Rattus norvegicus: one gene and its partner. Each later gene encodes a partner of the first gene's protein in a complex. Links are inferred from orthologs where the notes say so. Each region holds a gene or a part of one and is shown in the gene's direction. Other genes may lie near its edges. The genes, in order: Wnk4 and Klhl2.

What was found.
Region 2: the proteins of Wnk4 (region 1) and Klhl2 are in contact, whole or in part, in a crystal structure (PDB 4CHB), measured with the Homo sapiens proteins. The link is inferred for Rattus norvegicus from reciprocal best matches to the Homo sapiens genes WNK4 and KLHL2. Residues at the interface, in NP_115763.2 of Homo sapiens: Glu557, Pro558, Glu559, Glu560, Pro561, Glu562, Ala563, Asp564, Gln565; in NP_009177.3 of Homo sapiens: Arg345, Phe361, Gly363, Ser364, Leu365, Arg366, Thr392, Phe408, Gly410, Ser411, Thr412, Gly413, Ser438, Ser439, Tyr455, Ser487, His504, Arg534, Tyr583.

The regions. Positions count from the first base shown.
Region 1 is NC_086028.1:86,703,399-86,713,273, forward strand, and holds part of Wnk4 (serine/threonine-protein kinase WNK4), read left to right. Parts: coding exon 1-194; intron 195-881; exon of another isoform or gene 882-916; coding exon of another isoform or gene 917-961; intron 962-1,643; coding exon 1,644-1,816; intron 1,817-2,678; coding exon 2,679-2,899; intron 2,900-3,194; coding exon 3,195-3,352; intron 3,353-3,904; coding exon 3,905-3,993; intron 3,994-4,072; coding exon 4,073-4,289; intron 4,290-7,399; coding exon 7,400-7,664; intron 7,665-7,874; coding exon 7,875-7,996; intron 7,997-8,233; coding exon 8,234-8,292; intron 8,293-8,383; coding exon 8,384-8,498; exon of another isoform or gene 8,499-8,500; intron 8,501-8,747; coding exon 8,748-8,864; intron 8,865-9,875. UniProt on the Homo sapiens protein: Serine/threonine-protein kinase component of the WNK4-SPAK/OSR1 kinase cascade, which acts as a key regulator of ion transport in the distal nephron and blood pressure.
Region 2 is NC_086034.1:29,721,949-29,731,823, forward strand, and holds part of Klhl2 (kelch-like protein 2), read left to right. Parts: intron 1-3,857; coding exon 3,858-3,975; intron 3,976-5,773; coding exon 5,774-5,971; intron 5,972-6,729; coding exon 6,730-6,831; intron 6,832-8,743; coding exon 8,744-8,872; intron 8,873-9,383; coding exon 9,384-9,524; intron 9,525-9,875. UniProt on the Homo sapiens protein: Substrate-specific adapter of a BCR (BTB-CUL3-RBX1) E3 ubiquitin ligase complex that mediates the ubiquitination of target proteins, such as NPTXR, WNK1, WNK3 and WNK4, leading most often to their proteasomal degradation.

The DNA.
Region 1 (9,875 bases):
TTCCTGATGCTGCAGCCCGGGAACGGCGGCGGGAGCAGGAAGAAAAAGAGGACACAGAGACCCAGGCTGTGGCAACGTCTCCCGACGGCCGATACCTCAAGTTTGACATTGAGATTGGAAGAGGTTCCTTCAAGACCGTGTATCGAGGGCTAGACACCGACACCACGGTAGAGGTGGCCTGGTGTGAGCTGCAGGTGTGCCTGGGCACCCCCTAGGTGGGATGGGCCCCTTTGGTGGTCTTAGGTTGGGGAAACAGGGAGGACAGCATCAAAGGAAGGATCACTTTTTTGTCAGATGTCCAGGCACTCTTGCTTTCCTTGCCGGCATGGTTTTACTGACTCTGGGTGGTTTCAGGAGAAACTGAGGCAGATGGTATACAGTGGCTCCCAATGAGCATAGACAACTTCACTTTCAAACCTTCTTACAAATCTGAGGGTTGGAAAACTGAGTTGCAGCGGGTAGCACTCCAGTCTCCTGCCTGGGGTATCACTGCCCCTTCCTCTCTTGCTCCTCCAAGTCCTGAAACCTTCTGCTGTGTCTCTGGTCCTCCTCCTCCTCCTCCTCCTCCTCCTCCTCCTCCTCCTCCTCCTCCTCCTCCTCCTCCTCCTCCTCCTCCTTCTCCTCCTCCTCCTCCTCCTCCTTCTCCTTCTCCTCCTCCTACCTCTTTACAAACTTAGAAATAATATGTGGGAGTTCAGGAGCTGAGGACAAGGCCCTCTCCACCTCCAGAAGGGGGTTCTCCAGGCCGTTTCTGGAGTTGTTGGTTTTACAGACTTCTTAACAGCCTCAAGGAGTGGGACAGGAAGCTCTAGTTCTAGCTGGAGTCCAGTTCAGTTTCTCATCCCTATGCATACCTGGAATCTCCTTTTCCATTGCCAAAGGAGCTGAGCTCTTGCAACCTTTGGACTTCAGGAGGATGTTGATTGGCAGTTTCTTCCTCCCGTGTCTCCCACTGTTATGTGTGAGTGGTCCCGGAAATTTTTAGGGTATAAAACCAGGAGGAAGGGTCCTTCCACTTTGGTCCTGGCATAGGGCTCTCCGCTAGTCACTGCTAGTGCCGCACCCCAGGCTCTAAGCCAGGCCAGGAGAATCAGCCAGACTCAGGGGAGGGAGAGGGAGAGGGAGAAAAGAGGGGTAGGGCAGCTCCTGCCATGGGGGGGTGGTCTCCTGGCCCTGGATCTTTTCTTTCTTGGTACCTTCCTCGGACTCTGTCTAGATTCTGCAGTTCCTAGTTTTTAAGGCCAACCCCTTGTCGGCCCCAATTCCCTGCCCGTGGTCTGCCTTCTGCCTGCTGCCTGCTGCCTGCCGTCTGCCACCCCCCCTTCACCCCACCCCACCCCTTCCACGGTCGGCTCTGGCGGCCACAAAGGCGCTATTGAGTGCATAGCTCCCAGACCTGGTTGCATAAAGGCGCTTGTGTCCAGCAGGGGGTCCGGAGTGCTGCCCCAGGCCCAGGGTGGGTGTGTTTTGGAGCAATAAGAAGGGATCAACCAAAAGTTGGGGGTCTACAGCCCTTCTGCTAGAGATCTCGCCAACTATACCCTCCCTCATTTCTCCCCCCACCATACCCTAGATGTCCCATGTCCTTCTTGGGGGGGGTTGATCTGGATCTGATGTGACCCTCCGTCACCCCCATCCCACAGACTCGGAAACTCTCTCGGGCTGAACGGCAGCGTTTCTCTGAGGAAGTTGAGATGCTCAAGGGGCTGCAGCACCCCAACATCGTCCGCTTCTATGACTCCTGGAAGTCGGTGCTGAGGGGTCAGGTTTGCATCGTGCTGGTCACAGAACTCATGACCTCGGGCACGCTCAAGACGTGAGCTCTGGCCTGGGTGGGAGGGGAGGGGTGGAATGTCACCCGTCACTCCAAGGCTCTGGGAACTTCTCCCAGTCACTTCAAACTTCCACACTTGAAACCAGGCTCTCTCCCACTTACTAGACTGTGTGAATGCCAGTGTACACCAAGCATACCAGTCAAAACTTTAGGTATCTTTACTGCAATGTACCTTCTTTCTCAACAGTGGGGTCACTTAAGTCTTTGTTTAACATCCTCCCACTGCACCCCCCCATCTTTTCCTCTACCTTGCTGCTATACCACTGACCCCTCCCAACTCCCAGAAGCCCTCCTAAAGAGCCTTTCCCAATCTGCCCTCCCTTCAAGTTATCCTATCTTCCTGCAACCCAGGGGAAGCCTGACCCTTTGACTTGCTCTTTTAAACCCCTTCAGGATTTCCCACTCCCCTGGGGGTAAAGTGCATTCACTCCCTCAGACACTCTCTTCTTGAGCTGAAGTTACAAACAACCCCAATTCTGTGATCCCTCCCATTCTGAACTGTCACTCCTGTGGCTCTCCAGCCTGGGAAATCTCCATCCCTCCCCATTTTCACCCTTGAATTTATATTTTTTCAAGACAAAAGTTATTCCTTCCCAACCCTTGGACTGTTAGTCATCCCTTCCGGTGCTCCGGGGCACGGGCCCTATCTTCGAAGTTACCATCAGAACTTTTTTTGTAACCTGTTTACCTCACTCATTGACTCAGTTTCTTTCCCACCCAGACCAGTCTAAATTAAAATAATGCTGGCTGGGGACAGCGGAGGTGTTGGCAAGGGTGGGATAAGGAATTTTCCAGCCTGGAATAGATATCCCCGCCCTGACCACGGTTATACACCCTCTCCCAGGTACCTGAGGAGATTCCGAGAAATGAAGCCCCGAGTCCTTCAGCGCTGGAGTCGCCAGATCCTACGGGGACTTCATTTCTTACATTCCCGAGTGCCCCCCATCCTGCACCGAGATCTCAAATGTGACAATGTCTTCATTACCGGCCCTTCAGGCTCTGTCAAAATCGGAGATCTCGGACTGGCCACGCTCAAGCGCGCCTCCTTTGCCAAGAGCGTCATTGGTGTGTCTCTCCAGCAGGACCCTGGCCATTGTTAGCTCCTTTGCATCAGAAAAGAGCACGGGACCCCTCACTCCACTCCATCAGGGCTTTGGAGAGATAGCGTACTAGGGCGACCCATTTTTCCTGCCCCCAGCACAGGCTTTGGGCAAGAGTTGGTCACCAGCACTCCAGAACTCCTGGGGTTGCTCTTGGGCTATTAAAGCTACCCCCAACCCCCCCCCCCCCTGTGCGATATACCTAAGTGGAGGGAGGAGACCAGGAGAAAGAAGCCTGATCCTTTCTGTGGGTCCAATAGGGACCCCGGAATTCATGGCCCCTGAGATGTATGAGGAAAAGTACGACGAGGCTGTGGATGTGTACGCCTTTGGCATGTGCATGCTGGAGATGGCTACGTCTGAGTATCCCTACTCTGAGTGTCAGAACGCAGCACAAATCTACCGAAAGGTCACTTCGGTGAGAAGGGTGGGGTTTGGGGAAGAAGGGATCCCCAGTGGCCCTCCCATTCTTCTACCCTCTAACTAGCCTGCTAATACATAACATTAGCATACATTATATTAACATATGTGAAGGGTATATATTATACATGTATCAAATTATATATGTGTGTGTATATGTAACACACACACACACACACACACACACACAAACATTTATCCTTAATAAAGCCAGGCCAGACAAAAAGATGCCCTGGAGAAACAGACATATATTGTATGTACATAAACCCTTCACACAAGCTGGTAAGAAGATGTGTATGCTTACAGACAACTTCACATCCAGTCTCAGTAGATCTTTCTAGTTGCCCTACTAGAAGAGCCAGGCAAACTTTCTACCCTCAGGCAAGGTCACACCAACATAGGTGGGGGAATGGGATCTGAAATCAAGTCTTTCCGTACCAGTATCTTCCCCCAACCTGAGCCTGGGCGCCTGCCTGCACTGCAGACTTGCTGAGCGAGGCGGGCGTGGGCAACGGGGGCGGGGGGGGGCTCATGAGATCCCTTCTCTCAGGGCACAAAGCCCAACAGCTTCTACAAAGTGAAGATGCCAGAGGTGAAGGAGATCATTGAAGGCTGCATCCGCACGGATAAGAATGAGAGGTGGGGTCCGGGACAGAGACGGGATGAAGATGACCGGGCAGTGGCAGCGGGCTCCGCTCACTGCCCCCACGGTCCCCAGGTTCACTATCCAGGATCTTCTGACCCACGCGTTCTTCCGCGAGGAACGTGGTGTGCATGTGGAGCTGGCAGAGGAAGATGATGGAGAGAAGCCGGGTCTCAAACTCTGGCTGCGCATGGAGGACGCACGACGCGGGGGGCGCCCAAGGGACAACCAGGCCATCGAGTTCCTGTTCCAGCTCGGTCGGGATGCAGCGGAAGAGGTGGCTCAGGAGATGGTGAGGAGAGTATAGATAATCCTACTTGGGTGGAGTGTGTAAAGGGTTCAGCCAGCCTGCCATCAGTCAACAGGAGGGGTCAAGGTGCAGCGCTAGAGTAGCGAGCGGAGGCTCCTACTCAGAGCTGCAGCTCCAACAGGGGTCTCTCCGCCTCTTCTGCCCTAATCCACCAGCGCACGCCAGGGTTCTCCCCCAGAACAAATCCGGGAAACCCTAACGTCACTTCTTTGCACGCAGATTCATTTTTTCATTTATCACGGGAATGCCCTTCTTGGCAACTTATCTATTTATTTTTCCCTCTCCCCCTTCTTTGTCTCTATGCTTAGCACCATCCGTTCCAGGACGCTCACTCCTCCTGTGTAAACGCTGAATGCTTCTTTTCAAATCTGGGGGCGGGCGGGGGGGGGGGGCTCGAAACCACCTCAAACCTTGGGCTTTGTTTTATACCTGAATACATTTCCCATCTCACTCCTCTGCTAGACTAGAAACTATCTGTGGCCAGACAGTATTTTATTGATTTTTTTTTCCCCTCGGTCCTTTACTGTTTGGCAATTAGCAGATGCTTCTTAACATTATATGTGGCTTAAAAAAGAAAGCATTTTTCACGTGACCTTCTTTGGAGGGCTATGGAATGCATGCTTAGAGAGAGTGACTGTCTTGTCTAGAGTCCCAAGAAAACAAATGACAAAGAGGGATGTAATCTCAAGCTGTTCAGATTTGAAATCAGTTGGCCCTACCACATTTCTTTTACTCACCCGGCAAAGCCCACGGCTAAATTGATTTGAATAGGAGAGGGGGAGGTGAGGAGCAGAGATCCGTGGAAGAGAAAGTACTGTGGAGATAGAAGATGCCAGAGCACAACCTTGAAAGCTTGTGAGGAGAACCTGAATGGGCAGAGGGTGAGAATATGGGATTCTCAATAGAGAAATGGCAGTTTCAAGGTCAAGGGTCATCTGTGATGAGTCAAGAAGCTGAGACCATGCTGGCTTAGTGGGGCTCTTTTTTTAAAAAAAAGATTTACTTATTTATTTTATGTATATAAGTACACCATAGCTGTCTTCAGACACACTAGAAGAGGGCATTGGATCCCATTACAGATGGTTGTGAGCCACCATGTGGTTGCTGGGAATTGAACTCAGGACCTCTGGAAGAACAGTCAGTGTTCCTTTTTTTTTTTTTTTTTTCAGGTTCATAATTTATTGTACAAATTGAGTATTACATGATGAGTTCACATCAGCTTCTTCAGGCATGGGACTTAACAGATGAGGCCAGACATTTCAAAATCCATTTATGTTGCTTTCACAGCTGGGGTTTTTTTAGGCCTTAACTTAAAGTATAGGACCAACAAAGCAATGCCTCCATATGTGGCCAGGACACAATTCATTCTACCTGTGAGGGTATAAGAGTTGAAATATTTTTTAATACCAGTGAACTGGAATTGGCCATCACTTTCTGGACCAGCCATGACTTCAATCTTCTTCGTCCGAATCACAAACTCTGCCCAGTCAGTGTTTTTTTTTTTTTTTTTTTTTTGGTTCTTTTTTTCGGAGCTGGGGACCGAATCCAGGGCCTTGCGCTTCCTAGGCAAGCGCTCTACCACTGAGCTAAATCCCCAACCCCCCAGTCAGTGTTCTTAATACCACTGAGCCATCTCTCCAGCCCTGGGGCACTTTTTTTTTTTTTTTTTTAAATCCCAGGAAGCAGAGGTAAATGAATCACTTATGAATCCAGCCAGTGAGCTCCAGGCCATCCAGGCATACACAGTGAGACCCTTTGGCACAAAAGCAATCTCCAGAGCACTGCCCAGCTCAACTCAAGATTCAGTCCTTTAAGAGTGACATCTTGTTTATGTTGTGTGTGACTGTGCATGTATATGTGGGGTCACATGTGCCACAGCATGCGTGTAGAAGTCAGAGGACAACTAGTGGGAGTCAGTTCTCTCCTGCCATCATGTGGGTCCTGGGGGTTAAACTCAAGCCATTAGGCTTGATGGTAGGCACCTTTAAACACAGAGATATTTTGCTGCCTTCAAGATCAAGTCTTGATCTATTATCTGTGAGGGAGCAAGGGATTCCTGTGTGTGTGATGTACCTTTTATGCATGTGGGTATGCACATGAATGCATGTGTACACATGCTTTTGCATGGGTACTGGAGGCTGGAAATCAGGTCTTTCTGATTGCAGTATTATATCCAAAACAACAATGGCAAAGTTTATCTCATAATGTTATTGAGAAGACTTAAGGATGATGATGAATTCAGTTAACACACATGGTCATTAATCAATAAGTAGTTCCCTCCTGGGCTGGAGAGATGGTTTAGAGGGTAAGAGTACTGACTGCTCTTCCAGAGGTCCTGAGTTCAAATCCCAGCAACCACGTGGTGGCTCATAACCATCTGTAATGAGATCTGATGCCCTCTTGTGTCTAAAGACAGGTACAGTTTACTTATATATAATAAATGAATAACTCTTTTAAAAAAATAGTTCCCTCCTTATTCCTAGAGGCCTCAAAAAGGTGTCCTGATAGATAACTCCCCAAGTATGGATGTGTGTGTGCATATTTGTAAAGTCAGTTAAAGGTGTCCAGATGAATCTATCCACCCCCTCACCCCCTCTTCCCCTCTCTCTCTCTCTCTCTCTCTCTCTCTCTCTCTCTCTCTCTCTCTCTCTCTCTCCACGTACAGATGTGTAAGTATATGTATGTTGAAGCCAGAAGTTAACTTTGGGTGTCATGTCTCTGGAAGGAGCAACCTTGTTTTTTGAGATAGGGTTTCTCTGTAGTCCTGGCTGGCCTAGAACTCAGAGACTGCCTGCCTGTGCCTCCAGAGTTCTGGGATTAATGGCCAAACAGGGTTTCTTACTGGAATCTGGGGCTTGCTAAGGCTAGACTGACTGGCCAGCAAGCTCTGGGACTCTGCCTTTCTCTGCCTCCCCAGCACTGGGGTTTCAGGCGTGCATACCTGAAGCTTTATGCGAGTATTGGGGACAGACTCGTGCTTTATGCCTAATGCAGCAAACATCATACTAACTTAGACAGCTCCCACGTCCCTGCTCAGTCTTTGGGGGAAATTAAAAAATTTAAAACCATCTCCCTAAATATCCTGACTCCAGGTAGCCTTGGGCTTAGTCTGCGAAGCAGACTACCAGCCAGTGGCCCGTGCAGTTCGAGAACGGGTTGCTGCCATCCAGCGGAAGCGGGAGAAGCTAAGAAAAGCCAGGGAATTGGAGGTTCTCCCACCAGACTCAGGACCTCCTCCAGCAACTGTGTCTATGACTCCTGGTCCCCCCAGTGCCTTCCCCCCAGAGCCCGAGGAGCCAGAGGCTGACCAGCACCAATCCTTCCTCTTCCGCCATGCCAGCTACTCATCCACTACATGTAAGTCACCCCAACTTTGAGTTCTAGGTCCCAGAAGTCCAGCCCAACCCAGCTTTCTAACTCGAGCCACGTACCTTCCTTTGGGGACAAACACTCCCACAATTCCCTCCTGGCTCCAGGCCCCTCTTTGCTCAGACAGGTCCCCCTCCCCTCCCACCACAGTCCTTTATTATTTTTCTTATTTTTTTGATCCACTCCCTCCCCTACCAGCTGATTGCGAGACTGATGGCTACCTCAGCTCCTCCGGCTTCCTGGATGCCTCAGACCCTGCCCTTCAGCCCCCCGGGGGGATGCCATCCAGCCCCGCTGAGCCCCATCTCTGCTTGCCCTCGGTGAGAGGGGGTCACCCCAGAGCCTTCCAGCCATTCAAAGCCCATGACCTGTCCCTCTCTCCTGACTCCCAACCCCCTACCCCGTTCCCTGGGTTCCTGAAACACACCATTCTTGTCCTTATGTCTCCAATTCTGTTTCCCTAGTGTTCTCCCCACATCCTGACACCATTTCCCCCGGGTCTCCACCACCATCAGCAGCTATTATCCCCTGACCTTATGAATTCTATCATCTTCCAGGGTTTTGCCTTGTCCATTCCACGGTCTGGCCCTGGCAGTGACTTTTCTCCTGGGGACAGGTATGTTCTGGTTTCAGTCAGATGGCAGGGTGAGACACAGAATGTTCTGGGTTTATCTACTTAAACCCTCTGTCTCCCTTTCCCTGTCCAGCTACGCCTCAGATGCAGCCTCAGGCCTCAGTGACATGGGAGAAGGGGGGCAAATGAGGAAAAATCCAGTGAAGACTCTGCGACGGAGACCTCGATCCCGGCTTCGGGTCACGAGTGTAAGGAGGACCCAGGAGCTGGAGAATAACCCACAGGACCAGTAGGGGACTGCCAGGGAGATGGGGGTGGGGCAGGGCAGAAAAGCGGAGTTGTGACTGGTGATGCTTTGAGGCATCTAGTCTAGTTTCAATGCCAGACTCTGGGCCTAGAATCCGTTCTCCACCCTGGCCAGCCTCTAGCAGGGTGGAAACACATGGCCGAGGCAGAGGCATTGACTTCTTCCCTTCTGCTGACTTTGAATCTGAAAGGTCTCAGACCAGAGCGACAGAGTCGTGGAGTGCCAGCTGCAAACTCACAACAGCAAGATGGTGACGTTCCGATTTGATCTGGATGGGGACAGCCCAGAAGAAATCGCAGCTGCCATGGTGAGGGGGAGAGAGATGAGGACCGAGCGTTTGGATTCATAGCCCGACCCTGCAATGAGGGCGTATAAACCCTGGTTGGCAGGGCAACTGTGAAGATGCTTTGGCCTTTGTGCGGGGGAGATTTCTGTGTATCCAGTCAGAGCACTCTGATATCAATATGGACTAGGAAGATAAGAGTGATGTGACTTCCTGCTAGAGAAGGTGACTGGAAGTAAAGGACGGACTGGAGCAGGGTGGAAGGAGTGGGATTTACCCAGGCCGAGCAGATGAGTAGCAGTGGCCGGGAAGCGCGGGGGGCGGCGCGGGGGCGGGGCGGCGGCATGTCCTTTTGGAAGCAGGGCATGAGTAAAGCCATTAGTGCTGACTTCGTGAAGAGACCACTGTCCCTGGAGAAAGGGGATCCTACAGGAGTGTCCTGGGAAGCGGAACTCAGCACATATCATAAGAGCTAAAGAAGGGCAGCTGTGGGCAGTGCATGCCTGCAATCTGAGCTCTTGGGAGGAGTTAGCTGGAAGATCAATGATTGGGGTCATCCTGGGCTGCACAGCAGTTCAGGGTCAACCCAGGCTACATACATGAGACTCTGTGAAGCAAACAAAGGAAGTTAGGCAGAGAGGGACATGATGAGAATGGGTTTTTTTGTTGTTGATGTTTGGGTGTTCGTTTGTTTTTTTTAGATTTTTTTTAAATTAGCTTTTTATTTTATGTATGAGTACACTGTCGCTGTCTTCAGACACACCAGAGGGCTTCGGATCCCATTACAGATGGTTGTGAGCCACCATGTGGGTGCTGGGGGTTGAACCCAGGACCTCTGGAAGGACAGCTAGTGTTCTTAATCACAGAGCCATCTCTCCAGCCCGAGAATGGATTTTTAAGAAGACTGATCTGCTGTGGCATAGGGGAAGGTATTAGGAGTAAAGACTCTGATCAGGAGGTAGACACAAGAAACCAGATAGGCAGGAAGCAGAAATGAAATACTCCCGGGAAGAGAAGAAAGGCCGAAGCTAAGGG
Region 2 (9,875 bases), on another chromosome or scaffold:
TTGTTTCAGTTCTTCTGCAGGGGAAATGTGCCTGAGAATGCAGTGTAGAATATATGATTTAGCATTGGCTACACGTTAAGGATGGTGCCCAAGAAAGCATCCTAGAAAATAGGATTTCATTTCTGTTGCCTTCTTGTTAGGATACGGATTGTTCAATTCATTTAACCTTTTATAAAACATTTTTTCAATTGTTCTAAAGATTTATTTTATTATTTTATTTGTGTGGTATATGTTCACACATGGAGGTCAGAAGTTGATATTAGATTCCTCAGATCTAGAGTTACAGTGTTGTGAGACACCCAGGGTGGGTGCTGGGATTTTATTGTGTACCTGTGAAGAGCAGTGACTGCTCTTACTCAGTGAGCTACCTTTCCAGCCTAAAGTGTGTGTGTGTGTGTGTGTGTGTGTGTGTGTGTGTGTGTGTGTGTGTGTCTGTGTGTCTGTGTGTCTGTGTGTGTCTGTGTGTGTCTGTGTGTGTGTCTGTGCGTGTGTGTGTCTGCATGTATGTATGTCTCTCTGTGTGTGCATGTGTAGGTGTGTGCACTTGTGTGTGCACATGTAACTTGAGTGCATTCTCTCCTCCCCGTGTGGGCGGGCCCTGGATGTTGAACTTCTCATCGAGTGGTGGGAGGCACCTCTCCTTGCTGAGCCACCTCACCACTTAACTTAAATACGTCATAAACGTTTCATGTCTGTGAGAGGAAAAATAAAAGCCTTCTTAGCTCCTGCTCTGTTTTCTGGCATTTCTAGCTACACTGCAGAGAGGCTTTTTGATTAAAGATGAATTCAACCTCATTTCACCTAATTTCCAGGCTAAACATGGCAATTCAAAGAGCCAAGGAACTCTTGGTAAAATCCTGCCGAGTGTTTCATTTTCTTTGTAAGGTATAAGCCATCTATTGAGTTGCGCTGTCCCCTGGGCCTCTCTGGTATGGCCTACCTTTTCCACCGTTACATACTTCCAGAGTTTTCCAGGCTTCAGCTCCTGCTTGTGGTATGCGGTGCATGGATTCATGAGGTTCTCTGGTATTTAGCTTCCTTGGGATCCCTTGTTTTGGAAGAGTCCCTAACGTGGCCAACCGTTCAAACAGCAGCACAGCTTTGAGTATGTCCACCCCTTCTCGGACATTGGCTTGTGCGCACGGTTTAGAAAGGGTCTTGAATAGAAAGTTTTCCTGATACCATTTATCATTAGGCAGTGGCTGTGTTCAGGATTTATTCTAGGGAAGTAGGTCAGAAGGAAGTGGGATTAAAGTTGTGTACACGTGTATCTCATAGTCCCCGACTTATGTCCCCGACTGCACTCACGCACATGGGCTTTCTCGTCTCACGCATGACTTTTGTATTCTGGGGAAACTATGCAGAGATTCTGCGAGGTAAGGCATCTTTACATTCGGATTTCATAACAGGAAACTCTACACTTTGTAGTTTTTTTAAAAAGATTTATTTTATGTATATGAGTATACTGTAGCTGTCTTCATACACACCAGAAGAGGGCATCGGATCCTATTACAGATGGTTGGGAGCCACCCTGTGGTTGCTGGGAATTAAACTCAGGACCTCTAGGAGAGCAGACATTGCTCTTAACCACTGAGCCATCTCTCCTGCCCTTTAAGTTTATTTTTTATCTTTATTTATGTGTCTGTGTGTACGAATATGAATGTGCATGTAGGAAATCCAGAGGAGGAAAAGGATTCTGTGGAGCGGGAGGCACAAGCACGTGTGAGCCACGCAGCCTGGGTGCAGGGGACTGGAGTACAGCAGTGTGTACTCGTAATCACTGAGCCATCTCCCCAGCCCACTGTGTATGTTCTGCTGCTGTGCTTTGTTATCTCTGCTAACTCCTCCCTTTTGGGAAATAAATATTGATGTATTTCTGGGTGCAGAAAGTAAGCAACCTGCATTTAGGATAAATTTACTTCTCTTTTTTCCTCTTGGCGTCCCCTAATGTTACCATTCATTTTTCTCCACAAATCAGTCATGGCAGTCTATGATATGACAACCCCTTTGCTGATTGCCACACTCTTGTTTCTCCGTGTGTTCCACTGTCTCCCTGCTCCCATGCCTCCCGTGCATCCTTCCTGCATGTACTCTGTTGGAATACGTGTTTCTATCCCACTTTGTCTTTCTCGGAGAAGTAAAGTGAAGGTACTACCCTGTCCTCTGTGGTGACATGCTTTCTCCTCTGTCCTCACTTCAGAGGTGCCGGCTGAGGATTTTAAACTACTCTGGGGCTGGACAGATGGCTCGGTGCTCAAGAGTGTGCACTGCACTTACAGAGGACCTGAGTTTGCTTCCCAGGACTCCTATCCTTTGTCTTCTGCAGATACCGTACTCAACGTGCACAAACCCACAATTATACACACATATGCACGTCTAATTAACGTTAAGAACACGGTCTTTAGGGTATCTACATTCAGTTCTGAGGTCTGATGCTTGAATTGATCTTCACTGGATACATCATTGCAGACCCTTTCTACACTGTGTCACTGTCAGACCGAACTTTGAGGTGTGAGCACAGATCTGTATGCACAGGGCTGAGCTTGATGTGACCGTGCAAGACTGATTGTACAGTCCTTCTCATACTGACCTTTTCGTAATAGTGTGGAATGATTTTTCTTTAGTCCTTTATATTTGTTTGGAGTCAGAACTAGAGGAATAGGCTGAAATATTCACGCCATTGGTCTACGCTAAGCCTTAACATGCCTAAGGGTTTCGGCTTTACACAGTAACTCTGAGACTCCATGCACACCTTCCTTTAGATTGAAGTACTCCAGGACCACAGCCCACACACGGGTGTGAGCATCTGCACATTGGGTTTGTCATGAGTTTTTATTCTCAGTATTCATTTCCCTTGTCATGGTCTCATCCTCCCCTCAAAGCCCTGCCCATTCTTTACAGTTTTCCATTCAAGACCTCATTAACCACAACATCATGCTGACGTTGCCATTCTTACTCCCCATTGCCAGGAAGTGCCCATGTGTATGGTAAAAGACTAGCACAGGAGTTTCTAGGTCCTGTCCGTCTTACAAGCCCTTCGCTCCAGCTCCTTAGGAAGCTTTCGCTGAATTATGGTCACTCCCCCTTTTCTGGTCCCGTTAGCAGTTACTGTCATACAGGTATTCGACTGCATATAATTGCATACTGGTCTTGTATTGCATTCTGGGAGTTGGTTCCTCGGTGAGGTTTATAGGCTCTTGGTGAGTAGAAAGGTGTCCTGTGTAGTCCCTAGCGTACTCGTTAATCAGCGGTCAGGGTGGCCCGTGGCTGCTCCTCAGCCTCCATCTGTTGCCAGCAGTAGACCGATGCTTGTGTGGTCATTAGGAGCTTGATGTCTCCATTCTGTTCTGGCGATGGCTTATTTATGGAGCCTCAAGAGGGGCCTCTTTCCTTAAGGTCCATGATTCTATATTCTCATCTACTCATGACCTCAATTTAAAATGATTTCTCCATCTATGAATCCTCTCCTGACCTTTTACTCACTACCTGGTACAACGCTGTACTTCTGTTTCCTACGCCCTGGCAGCCTCTGATCACTGCTGAAGCAGGATCTGGTTGACAGCAAGCTCCATGACACTCTATAGCCCTACCAGTGTTGGCTCCCTACTGTTTTGCCTTAAGTACTGCTTTTGCTTGAGTGGCCAGAAGCCTTTTTACATTTCTGAAAAGCCACATTTTTAAACCAAATGTGCTAGGTGATAGAATTGCTGTTCTAACCTGTGCCCCTTGCTGGCGTCACTGACGTGTTGGTTGGGCAGGCATTTCCTTCCAGCATGTCTCCTGTCTGTGTAGGATACGGTCAGTCTCTTGAGTAGGCGATATCATTGGTTCAAGCACTTACATTTGTTCCCTTGTAGTTGATGGTGGTGGTCGGGGGCCAGGCACCAAAGGCCATCCGAAGTGTGGAATGCTACGACTTCAAAGAGGAGCGATGGCACCAGGTGGCAGAGTTGCCGTCCAGGAGGTGCAGGGCAGGTGAGCGTGGGGTTTTCCAGCCAGCTCTGTTGCTGGGTCTTACTCGTCAGTAGGAAACACGTCTATTAGAAAACCAGGCGTAGTCTGTGCTTTCAATGCCAGCTCCCCAGAGGTGGAGGCAGGAGGATGGGGAGCTCAAGGCCAGCCGAGACCCTCTTTAAAGAAAAAGAAAAAGGAAGAGAAGGATGTTGTTTAGAAACCTAACTGAGCCCGTTCTGTGGAAAGGATAGCAGCTCTTTTCGTTTTTATTTTATTTTATTTTTTTGAAGACAGAGTCTCTGTGTCTCTATGGCCCAGGCTGGCCTTGAATTTCCTGTTCCGTCTGCCTCTGCCTCCCAAGTGCTAGGATTACCTATGTCATCCATTACACCTGGCTGCTGCCCTGCCCTCACCTTCAGGCACTGTTCTGATTTTGTAGAATAAACCGGCAGAGCTGGTGATTTGCGGCCTGATTTCCTGTCACCTTAATGAAATAGCATACCCCGAATCACGTCAGTCTGTAAGAGTGGAAGGCTAGGATATGAGCCTGTTATCTAAGAGAGTGTGTATGTGACCGTGTGCACACGCTCTCACACACATACACTCAGACACACACACATACTCTTACACACAAACAGTCTCACACACACACACATACTCTCACAACATACACACACACACACTCTCATACACTCTCATTACACACACATTCTCACATACACACACTCTTAGACACACACATACTCATATACATACAGTCTCACACACATACTCTCATATACATACACTCTCAGACACACACACACATACACTCTTACACACATACAGTCTCTCTCACACACACAACATACTCTCACAACATACCCCCCCACACACATACACTCTCACATACATACTCTATCATCACACATACATTCTCAAATATGCACACTCTCAGACACACTCACACATGTACTCTTTCTTATACACATATAGTCTCTCCCACACACGCATACACTCACATCACACACACACACACTCTTTTTTTTTTTTTTTGGTTCTTTTTTTCGGAGCTGGGGACCGAACCCAGGGCCTTGCACACACACACACTCTTATACACATATAACCTTACACACACACATACTCTCACAACATACCCTCCATACATACACTCTCACATACATACTCTCTCACACACACACATTCTCAAATATACACACTCTCAGACACACTCACATACTCTTTCTTATACATATACAGTCTCTCTCTCTCTCACACACACACACACACTCACACACACAGACACACACATCACACACACACATACTCTCACAACATATCCCTTCACACACATACACTCTCACATATCATACACACACACACACACACACATTCTCACATACGCATTCCCTCTCTCACTCCCTTCCCTCCTTCCCTCCCTCCCTCCCTCCCCCCCTCCCTCCCTCCCTCTCTCCTTCCCCTCCTGCTGCCTCTCTCCTCCCGCTCCTCTGCCCTTCTGCACCTTTGTCATATAGATTTTGTTTTTAAGTTGCAGGCGAGCACTTCACCACTGAAAACTACCCCACTAGTTTTAATTGGACATTAAACTTATTAATCTTACAATTAATCTTATTATCTTACAAGAATCTTTGCTGCAGTGGATTCCTAGTACACATCCCATGGTGCACTTCTGATTTTGTTTCTTACAAATGAAGAGAAATTTTCAAGACTGACCCAGCTCTTACGAGTTCTGTGTTCCCACAAACACTGTAGGTGCCTGCTTTGAGGTCAGGCTAACTGTAGCTGGCGTGCTCATCTGAATTGACTTCTTCCTTTGCAGGGATGGTGTATATGGCGGGGCTGGTCTTTGCTGTCGGTGGCTTCAATGGCTCACTGAGAGTTCGCACTGTAGATTCCTACGACCCTGTGAAAGACCAGTGGACCAGCGTGGCAAACATGCGCGACCGAAGGAGCACGCTGGGGGCAGCGGTGCTGAACGGGCTGCTGTATGCAGTGGGGGGCTTTGACGGCAGCACAGGTAACTGCCTCTCTCCCGCGTTGCTATAATAGGTAACTGACACGGTAGCCACATTTATGGTGCCAATCATAATGACGTTAGCACATGCTTTAGTGTTCTTAGCAGTTATTTTAGAGAAGCTCTAAAATGACACTGGCAATTTCTTTCGAGACCAGTGAGGTGACATTTGGGGGCAGGAGGATTATAAGTTTGAGGGTAGCATTGGCTCCAGGGTGAGAACTTGTCTTAAAACCCTAAATTCAAATTTTCTTTAAGAGATATGAGTGGAGGATGGATAGATGTGGTTAAGGGTGTTTGCTGCTCTTTGAAAGCACCAGAGTTTGATTTCCAGCACCCAGACAGAGCAGATCACAACCCACTCCAACTCCAGCACTGGGATACCCAGCACCCTCTACTGGCCTGAGGAGGCACTGCAGAGCGATGCACACACACATGAATAGCTTTTATGTAGGGTCATAGAAACACCTAAATAACTGCTTTTAAATGGCGTGACAGTGCAGACGATATACATTTTGTTTCTGATGCCTTAATATCCATCATTCTTCCATGTTTAAAAAGTTTATAAATGGCAGCAGCCCAAGTAGAAGCTTCAGTAGAGAAGCCACTCCCACCGTGGAGCGAGCACGTTCCCTCCTGCTCTTCTTTTAATTTTAGCCCAGTGTAAAATGTCTGACGTTATTTCCCCTAGTGGTATTTATATAAAAGAACAATGGTGTCATTTTGGAAGAGGAAATGAGGGGTATTATCCTCTGTCACAGGTTTATCATCTGTGGAAGCATACAACATAAAATCTAATGAGTGGTTTCATGTCGCGCCAATGAACACCAGGAGGAGCAGTGTGGGCGTTGGCGTTGTTGGAGGTAGGTCTGGGAGCTCCAGCGGTGAGCACTGTGGGTGCTCTGGGCTGTAGAGAGGGTGGTTCATCGGGAGATCCAGGCACTGTTTTATGAATGGGCAGAAGAAAAGCATGGTTATGTATTGTAATTGTTCTTTCTTTCAATGAGCTCATTTATATAAATTAAACTGTATAAGCGAGGCCTTTCCACCTACTTCCTCCCTCCCTCTCCCTATGTTTTCTTCTTCCCTCCTTCTTTGTGCGTAACTTATGTGACTGTCAACCAATCTTTTTTTAACGCTACTGGGAATTGAAGTCAGATACTAGACACATGCTTTATTCCCTAAGTGGCACCCAACCTTTTCACCTGTTCTTATGACAGTTGTTGGGAAAACGATTCAGGTCATTAAACTTCCAAACATTTGTATCTGGACGAGAGCCCTTTAACACGCAGGAGGTGGTTAGTGGCTTTACGTTAGTTTCTAACCCTTTGCTCTCAGTTGAAGGAAAACCATGTGTTATTTCTTTCTTTTTTTTTTTTTTCCGGAGCTGGGGACCGAACCCAGGGCCTTGTGCTTGCTAGGCAAGCGCTCTACCACTGAGCCAAATCCCCAACCCCGTGTGTTATTTCTTCAGTGTGATTTTTTTTTCCCTCAAATTCTAGCTTAGACAAATTTATGTTTTTCCGTTGCTTCCTCACTAGTGGAAAATTCTATTTCTATATCTATATCTATATATACATACATATATGTATATACACATACTTTTTTTTAAGACAGAGTCTCACTGTGTAGCCCTGGCTGGCTGCCCTGGAACTCACCATGTAGACAAGGCTGCACTCAGAGATCCACCTGCCTTCTACCTCCAGAGTGCCAGGGTTAAAGGTGTGTGCCCCCAGATCCAGCTTTCCGTACACTTTAAAAAGTAGACGATTACTGTTCTTCCAGAGGACTGGAGTTAGATTCCCAGCATCCACAGGAGGCTGCTCACAACTGCCTGTAGCTACAGTTGTAGGAGCTTCCAATGCCTCTGGCTTCTGTGGGCATCCACATTCACAAACGTATATTAATAAAAATAGATCTCCTTTAAAGTGCCTTTCATAAAACACCACTGAAATATCATAAAAACTTCCCATTTGACTCAAACGATTCCATATGTATCTATCACCACAAGTCATTTAAGAACATTTTTGTTACCCAATAAGACCATTTCTACTTCCTTAGCTGTCCCCTCTAATCCCCAGTCCCCAGTCTAGATACTTCCTGTCACTGTGAATTCCTCTCTTCTAGACATTTTATGTAAGTTAAATCACATAGCATGTTTATGACTGGCTTGTCTCATGTCGCATGCTTTTAATGTCACTCATGTATATTACTACTCCGTTCATAATGTAGTGTTAGCACATCATAGCCTTTTTCTCCTCAGATATTTCATTGCATTCTGTACTACATTCTGCTACTGACTCTTTCTTAAATGTATATGAGTGTTTTGCCTTCATGTATGGTTTGTGTACTGTGTGCATATATATGCCCATGAATGCCAGAAGAGGGTGTCATGGTTGTGAGCTGCCTTGTGGGTGCTAGGGATTAAAGGACAGGGGCACTCTTAACTGCTCAGCCATCTGTCTGGCCCCTCTGCTACTGACTCTCTTCCCCAGCTGATATTTCTGTTTTCCGAGACGTTGTTAATGAATCAGCTGGTGTTATCTCAAGTCAGTGCACTGCTCTAGTGTCACACCATTGATGGAAGTATAAGAAAGATAGAGAAAGCACATCCTTCCCTCATTCCACCTGCTAGCAGTTGTCAAGACTAATGCATATCATGAAAATTAGAAATGATTAAGGGGAGGTGCCGTTACCACAGAGCAGCATACACTAATGTCTTATGACGGGGAGAACAGGTTGTTTATTTGGCTTTCTTTGTGGTTCCACGTCTAGGTTTGCTCTATGCTGTGGGAGGTTACGATGGAGCTTCACGCCAGTGTCTTAGCACAGTAGAATGCTATAATGCTACTGCCAACGAGTGGACTTACATAGCAGAAATGAGCACCAGACGGAGTGGAGCAGGTAACTAGAGGCCCCGGCGAGCATCTGAGGTGGGCTGACTGGTGGACATCTGCATGTGGGGTTGGGAAATGTGTGCTACTTTTCCTGGTTCAGTTAAGTGGGCTTGAGCGGCAGTAAGAAGGAGTGCTTTTGTACATTTTCACAGCGTCAAAGCTTCTCTGCTTTCCTGACAGTGTTTTATCATTTGTTCAGTGAGGAAGGTTTTTCATGGCCCTTCCTTTCCGATCGGATGCCTTCACAGGCTGCTTTAGAGAACGTTTGTGAAAGGAGTTTATTAAAGGGCTCCTCATCAGTCGCTTCTCCTTGACTCCTCTCGTGTCAGGATAGGGCTTCTTACCGAGGTCCATCTCCTTCCATTTCTGCAGGCTGAGCCTCCTGTTAGTGCCCTCTTAGTGAGACTTAGGACTTCAGGTTTGCATCCCAAGGTACCTGCATCAGTGCTCCGCACCACAAGTTCGCAAGTTTCTTGCCTACCTTGCTCTTCCATAATCCGCTTGACTGTGTTTTCTAGGTGTTGGCGTGTTAAACAACTTATTATACGCTGTAGGAGGTCATGATGGTCCTTTAGTACGAAAAAGTGTTGAAGTATATGACCCCACCACAAATGCCTGGAGACAGGTCGCAGATATGAACATGTGCAGAAGAAATGCAGGTATCTATTAAGCCCAAGATCATGCCATCCATACTGCATGTAACGGGTGTTTTCTTAGTTTGTGTATTTCCATTGGTTTGTTTTTTTGTTCTTATTTTTGTTAATTATCTCATTTCTTGTTAGACTTTGAGCAATTCCAGTCCAAAACTTATTTAAGAAGCCCTTAAATACCTAGAGCTGGAGCAGACTGGCTCAGTGGCAGTGGTAGAATGCTTGCCTCACATATAGAATGCTTGCCTCACATACATAACACCAGGGCTTTGATCCCCAGCACCAACATAATATTTTAGGAATTTAACAGACCAGACATGATGACTTATGCCAACAGTCTAGCATTTGGGGTGCTGAGGC